Danio rerio: one gene and its partner. The protein of the gene in region 1 purifies or fractionates together with the protein of each later gene. This does not show direct contact. Links are inferred from orthologs where the notes say so. Each region holds a gene or a part of one and is shown on either strand. Other genes may lie near its edges. The genes, in order: myo1ea and ostf1.

Region 1 (3,830 bases):
AGGTTTTCCAGTGCGCTCCATGCAAATATCAAGTTGCCTAATCATACTCACCAAGGTTTCTTGGAAATCATGCTTGTCGTTGATATCGTCCACTTTGTAGGAACCGGACTGGTTGAGGTAAGTGTAGTAATCCAGGCTGGTAATGCCCAGACTGCTTTTCTGGTCTCCACTGGCTCCCTCTATTAGCTGTGAAGAGGAATGTAGGTTATAACACATTCACAAAAAGTTCTTGGGTGAATTTGGGTGAGTTTTAGACCATAAAAAATGGTCAATGATTAATATATAATTAAAATGAATAAATAAATCCAGAGTTGCATTTGTAAATGTAGTTATTGCACAGTGAACTAACATGAACAACCAATTTTAAGTTTTTAGATTAAGTCAAGCTGTAAATTAATATATTTACTCATTCATTCATTTTCTTTTCGGCTTAGTCCCTTTATTAATCTGGGGTCACCACAGCGAAATGAACCGCCTAAATTAATATAGCTCATTGTAAATTATTTCACGTTAACAGATGAAACCTTTTTTGTAAAGCATTGCAAAAATTATTTTAAAGACATAATAAAATCTTACCAGCAAGTACAAAAAGTCCTAGATCTGAGAATAATATTTAATGGTGTATATTTTGGAAAATTAGCCTTAGCATAACAAAGGAGTCTGGAATTTTATTCCAAACCCACTTAAAATGTAATTTCCACCACTGTTATTTTCAGAAATCCATTAGACACAAAATTTAAGACATAGAGGAAATGTCTCAAACACACTGTGGTGGAAATTTATGCGAGGAATAAAAAAAAAATCAATAGAATTCTCCTGGATATGTTAGCAGACAAATTAAATAAACTCGCAAGAGTGTGAAGAGTGCTTTAAGTGTGTTTATTTTCTAAAAGTCCAAAGGGCCAAAAGTGTGCGTAGCTGATGAAACACCAAAATACAAAAAGTCCCAAAGGAAAACGGTCGTTTAAATTGTGAAGAAGGAACAGTGAGGAGAAGGCCTCGTTAAGAAGCCAGACATACTCTCGCTTTCCAAAAAACTCAAGTGGTAAACTCAGAACAACGTGACCTGCTTTTCAGAGCCAAATGGCTCCATCTTTTATTTCCTGGCCTTTACTGCGGTTATTCATTCAATTTTTCCTCGTATTATACGACTGACGGTCACAGTGACATCTTCAGTGGGAAGGAGCCCACCTCCTGTCCTCATTCTCACCTGATAAAAGATGTGGAAGCTTCTCTCTCCAGGATTCCGCATCACCACTCGTGATTTTTCCAAAAGGAAGTTGGAAATTTTCCCACCATCTGGCTCGCCGCCGGAACTGAACTGAATCTCAAAGTATTTCCCCTGTCAGCGAAGATGAATGTTAAAAAAGGCACAGACGAGCTGTTCTGCAGGTGGGTGTGCATACCCAGAACCCCCCCAAAAAAGAGGAAATGGGTGCTTTAACAAATACAAACACTCTTCACTATCATTTATGATGCTCTTTCTGTTCACTTATGCTTACAGCAGCTGTCTGAAATTACCAGACATGCCCAGATGCAGAAGGAAAATAGTTTACTCAAGAATGAAAATGTGCTGTTAATTTACTTATGCTCAGGCATCCCAAAGAGGGACTACTGTCACAAGAACATATTAGTGAAGCTGAAACTAGTTCTTGGTTATCTTATTGACACAAGACAATACGAAAAAACATATACAGGCAAAAAAGATTACAGGTGTGGTCTCTGATGATACGTTGAGGTCTATGAAGAAATGATTTGAGTGACTTGGAGGTCAGCAAACACAAGTATTATGCTTGTTTTACGTGTGCACTGTTTTCTTTTTCATTCTCAAAGTCATATTAGGTGTTCATTATGATTTTGCAAATCACAAAGGACCACGGTTTCAGTTAAAAACATTGCTTATCCTCTACTGAAGATAAAAAAGTCACATATATTTTGGATGGTTTGAGGGTGAGTAATTTAACAGCCAATTTTCTCAATGTTTATCGAAAAGCTACCAAACACTCCACTAACTAATCCATTTGCATCACTGCTAATCCATTATTTTTGCAACTTAACCACCAATCCCAGAAGAACAAAAACAAGACTGGCATGTCTGTGCATAATGTTGCAGAACTGCAAGTAAATGTGGCATGCAGCATATTGTAATGGCAGTTTTGCCCTGTGAGTATTTTTAAGCTGCCAAATTTAGGTCAAAACCTTACAATGCCAACCTATTCATCAAATGTTCTTATTGCATTGACAAAGCAACGTTTCTTTCATTTAGTATAAAAAAAGATAGTTCACACCAAATAATGAAAATTCTGTGATCATTTCACCCTTGGCTTTTTTCAAAACAGTTTTTTTTTCTTCTGTTGAATGCAAAACAAGATATTTTGAAGAATGATGAAAACCTGTAACCACTGACATCTATACTGGAAAAAAAAATACTATAGACGTCAATGATTACAGGTTTCCAACTTCCTTCAATATATCTGGCATTCCTCCAAAACTGCCATTAAAAGGAGGCATGGCACCCAACCCCGCCCCTAAACCCAACTGCCTTCATACTGAAAAAAATCATACTAATATTGTACAAAGGAGATTGTAACAATTTATACAAAGGAGCCACTAAATCAAAAAGTTACGAATTGCAGTGAGATTGTGTTGCACAATATGGGCACTTGAAAAATCTTGAAAAAAGTCACACTGTGGATGCGAACAAATTAGTGTCAAGGGCTTGTTGTCATTTGCAGCTCGCTACAAATAAAAATTCTGTCATCATTTACTCACCATTCATTTGTAAAAACCAGTTTGAGTTTTTTTGTTCAGTTGAACACGCATGAAGATATTTTGACAAAAGTTGGAAACCTGTAATCGTCTATAACCATCATACGATAAAGTATTTTTTTGTCCTAGTATGAAGGTCAATGGTTACAGGTTTTCAACATTCTTCAAAATGTCTTCTTTTGCATTCAGCAGAAAAAAAAGACTATTTTGAAACAATTCGAGGGTGAGTAAATGATGACAGAATTATCATTCTTTGGTGTACTATCCCTTTACTATGGATGATTCATTCATTCATTCATTCATTCATTCATTCATTTTCTTTTCAGCTTAGTCCCTTTAACATTGATGATAAACCCTTTTTTGGTTTTAGTGCAACTTGTGCCCAACACATCACAAGACATCTGCCGTCTGCTTTCTTCAAATGAAATAATAATAAATATAAAATAACGGGAGGATGACTAATGCTTACAAATCGACTGGAGTTGTTGTTTCTCACTGTCTTAGCATTCCCAAAGGCCTCGAGAAGTGGATTAGACTGAAGAATGATGTCTTTGACATGCTGTGTGGAAATAAACAAACAAGAGAGAGATGTAATGTTACATTGACATTTGGCATAACAAGCACAGAAACAATGTGGATCTGAAATGGACGAGATCAGTAGATAAAATCCTGCCTGTAGGGTGAACTAATGTAACACTGGTCATCTCAATGTCAAAATGGGTGACCTAATTTACCCTGAAGACATATCAATGTCAGTACACATGCATATTTCACACATAATTTACACAGCACAGTCTACTTAGAGCCATCTCGGTCAGCAAAGCAGCCAAGAGACAGACAGACACATGCGGCAGTTCTGGGATATCCCAAAACCATCACTTTTTATGACATAAGATTTGTGGAGTAATATCACAAATATAAAAGAAAGGTTGCATAATTTTATTTTAGCTTTGTTTCAGTAGGTAATATAACTGTCTGTGCATGTAAATTACTAAGGTGGTTTGTAGTTAAGCAACAGAGTTATGAACATGTAAATGATCATGATACAGCATGATCTTAGA
Region 2 (3,830 bases), on another chromosome or scaffold:
TGCCAGTTTAGTGGCTAATTCGTACGAGTTCAGTCGTACAAAATTGTACGATTTTAAAAAGGAGGCGTGGCACCTAACCCCAACCGTCATTGGGGGATGAGCAAATCGTACTTAACTGTACAAATTAGATCGTACAAATTCATACGAATTAGCCACCAAATCAAAAAGTTACGAATTGCCGTGAGATTGTGTTGGCTTGGCTTATGAGGGCGTACTCACACTAGGCACAGTTGATTTGAACCATGCCGAAGCGCACTTGTTCCCACTCCCCTTGACGGCCTGCACTCACTGCATTTTTTAAATTCTGAGCAGGAGCACGATTACATCATCGATGATATGACTGGTCAGGAAGAGACAGGAAGAGAAGTGCTCTCACTCAGCGCAGTGGACATTGCTTTAGTTATATCACTTTGTATTGTTTTTAGTCGTTTGTGATGCAGTGACAGTCAAATATTTTGCTGAACAGATCTACAATTATCATAAAAGTCCTCATGCTGCACGTATTAGCAGGTTTGCATCTTTAATAAACTATGACAGTTCGTGTTTATTAAACGGTAAGAATGATTAATAAATTTATATGAAACAGTCCCTTTAAAGTGATGTCGCGTCTTTATTTTCCGGCTCAGGCGCACTTTGCACTCACATTACAAGCATACGCAACAAAGCCCAACTGAACCACACTCTTGCCCGGCCAACTGAACCACGACTGTGCACGATTCGCAGCACTCACATTTAACAGACAAACTAGGAAACGCACCCAGGCACAGTTCGGATAGCTTAGTGTGAGTGGGCCCAGAAATGTATTGAGCAAAACTGTGATGATCACGCACATCTGGTCAGGAAAGCATGGTGTGAACAGCCTTAAATCTTTTGCTGTCAAGGAAACCCACAAACCCCTCCAAATACCCACGGAGAAACCCAGGAAATGCCTACAGCGGTTGCTGAATAAATAGAATTAATTGCTTTCATTGATTCAGTGTGACTAAAACATAAAGCAGCGCAAACAGCTGTTATTAGCAATTGATTAAATTAATTTTAAAACCGATTCTTCAGTGAACTATGGCCCCGTGTAGTACAGTGGTTCCCAACCTTTTTTTGCCCGAGACCCCCTTTTTCCCCAGAAAATATTGGCCCCCCTCCACATTTAATGATATATTCGCTTATGTAAGTTTGCAGTAATGATGACAAAAAAAAATAGTTTTCAAACAAACATTATTATTTAGGTGGCCATAGATTTTTTTTAATCTAGATTAATTTAGATTAAAATGGCTCATTTGAATTGAATTTGAATGGCTCATTTAGAATTTGTGTGCTACCCAAATAAAAAGTCTGCGAGAATGGGTTTCTCAAGCCAGGTGGTGCATTAGACCAGAGGCTCATCTCCGGTTTCCGCATCACGAACTGCTTGTGAAACTGTTCTACTCTGACAAGACGGTGATGAAAATTAATTATGTTTAATAAGATTCATTAATTTTCTTTTCGGCTTAGTCCCTTTATTAACACAGGGTCACCACAGCGGAATGAACCGCCAACTTATCCAGCACGTTTTTACGCAGTGGATGCCCTTCCAACCATAACCCATCTCTGTGAAACATTCACACACACACACTCATACACTACGGACAATTTGGCCTACCCAATTCACCTGTACCACATGTCTTTGGACTGTGGGGGAAACCAGAGCAGCCGGAGGAAACCCACGCGAACACAGGGAGAACATGCAAACTCCACACAGAAATGCCAACGGACCCAGCCGAGGCTCGAACCTTCTTGCTTTGAGGCAACAGCACTACCTTCTGCACCAATGTGTCGCCCCATTCAATAAGATGTACTTATATTTACTAACTGTTTATTCACTTAAAGATGAATTTTGCAGCTGGTAGGGCATAAAACATATGCCAGGATAGTTGGCGGTTCATTCATTCATTCATTCATTCATTGAAACAGCGAATTGTTGTTGTTTTTTTTTTATCTCCTTAATCCGACTAAAGTCATAACTGAACTAAACAGAAATGGAATTAAGACGTAGAGTATGCTTATGTACTTATATATCATAAGTGGCATTATTGAAGTAAACACCGCTGTCTTTAGCACCTTTCGCCATATTTTCCGTCAAGATCCACACGCGGCTGTCAGTAAAGGACCGCGCACGCACACACACACACACATTGCGAAATGCGGAAGTTTTTTTTCTATCCATTTGGCGTATGCTATTAAATTCCATTACAATCACCAGTACCTACTCCTTATTAGTGTCTAAAACCCCAGTTTGTCATGGCAGATGAATGAAATGTTCAGGCATCCTGCTGATTTGATTCAGAAGGGCACTCTTTTGTCAGATGGCTCACCGGTCAGGTATACATCCATCCGCGCTAATATGTCAAGGTGAAAGTCATCATAGCTTGCGTAGAATAGACCCAGCTCCCAACCCAACTTTGAAAATAGATTAACGGCAATTATTTTTTATCACATGATAAGAATCTCGCATTAACGGCTCACCACTAGTGTAAATATATATTTATTCAGTTTGTATATTAATTTCAATAATACTATTGTCCACTGCTAAGTATTTTTTTTAAATATGACGCGGTCCCCCGCAAAGCTCACTGAGGCCCCCATGTGGACCTGTTGGGAACCGCTGGTGTAGTAAACGCTGCTTCATCTGTACACACATGCTGGAATAGAAGCTTTAATACATTAGCTTTATTAGCTCTGGCTTTGGTGACAAAATGCACATGAAAATTGACTTTGGTTAGTTGCCAATTGAGGTGGCACGGTGGCTCAGTGGCTAGCACTGTCACCTCACAGCAAGAAGGTCGCTGGCTCGAGTCCTGGCTGGGTCAGTTGTCATTTCTGTGTGGAGTTTGTATGTTCTTCCCGTGTTGGAGTGGGTTTCCTTCGGGTGCTCCGGTTTCCCCCACAGTCCAAACACATGCGCTATAGGTGAACTAAATACGCTAAATTGGCCGTAGTGTAGGAGTGTGAATGTAATAGTGTAAAAGAGTGTTTCCCAGTACGGGGTTGCAGCAGGAATGGCATCTGCTGTGTAAAACATATGCTGGATAATTAGAGGTGTAAAACATATGCTGGATAATTGGAGGTTCATTCCGCTGTGGTGACCCCTGATGAATATAGGGACTTAGCCGAAGGAAAATTAACGAATGAATAACCACCAAGCCCCCTGTGTCTGAATATAGTCAAAGCATGTATTTCAACCAGTTTGTGTTTCGACTACCTTTATGTCCTCCATGGCAAGCCCAGTAGAGAGAGGTGTTCCCTGCTTTGTCCAGTCCGTTGATGCCAACTTTATTATCCAAGCACTCTCTGAGCCAGCTCAGATTTCCTGCATTCCCACACAAAACAGACGATTATTTCACCACTTTAACAAACAAACATACTGCTAGCCGGGTCTGTATGTGTGTACCTCGTTTGGCTGCTTCATGCATGGGGTTATCTATGGACTCTGCCTGTTCAGCCACTGAGAAATGATCAAGATGAGAATAAAAAAAAAACTGCATATAATAAATCACAGCAATACATTTTTACATCACGGCGAATAGATCTTTGCAGTGTGGAGAGTGGATGTCTGCAGGCATGTGCACACATAGGGCTCAACCTGTGCAGTGCACATGCCATTTCTAGTATTGGATACAAAGCGCCCTACGAAAATGATCTGAATTGCCCCCGCTCTTCAGAAATTTTATCCTGCACATGCCCCTTAGATAGTCTCTGCACAGGGCTGGATGTCTGTACCGGCGAGTACAACGTGACGTCACATTAGTTTGATAGTTACAGTTTACACACAGCTTTCTGACGATATGTTACCGAGT

Evidence for each region.
Region 2: the proteins of myo1ea (region 1) and ostf1 purify together in Homo sapiens (co-immunoprecipitation; 3 studies listed by BioGRID and IntAct, counting the BioPlex papers as one, with this or other methods). This does not show direct contact. The link is inferred for Danio rerio from reciprocal best matches to the Homo sapiens genes MYO1E and OSTF1.

What each region holds. Positions count from the first base shown.
Region 1 is NC_133182.1:30,634,035-30,637,864, forward strand, and holds part of myo1ea (unconventional myosin-Ie), read right to left. Parts: intron 3,329-3,830; coding exon 3,239-3,328; intron 1,343-3,238; coding exon 1,211-1,342; intron 187-1,210; coding exon 52-186; intron 1-51. UniProt on the Homo sapiens protein: Actin-based motor molecule with ATPase activity. Unconventional myosins serve in intracellular movements. Their highly divergent tails bind to membranous compartments, which are then moved relative to actin filaments.
Region 2 is NC_133180.1:7,426,318-7,430,147, forward strand, and holds part of ostf1 (osteoclast-stimulating factor 1), read right to left. Parts: intron 3,479-3,830; coding exon 3,425-3,478; intron 3,344-3,424; coding exon 3,236-3,343; intron 1-3,235.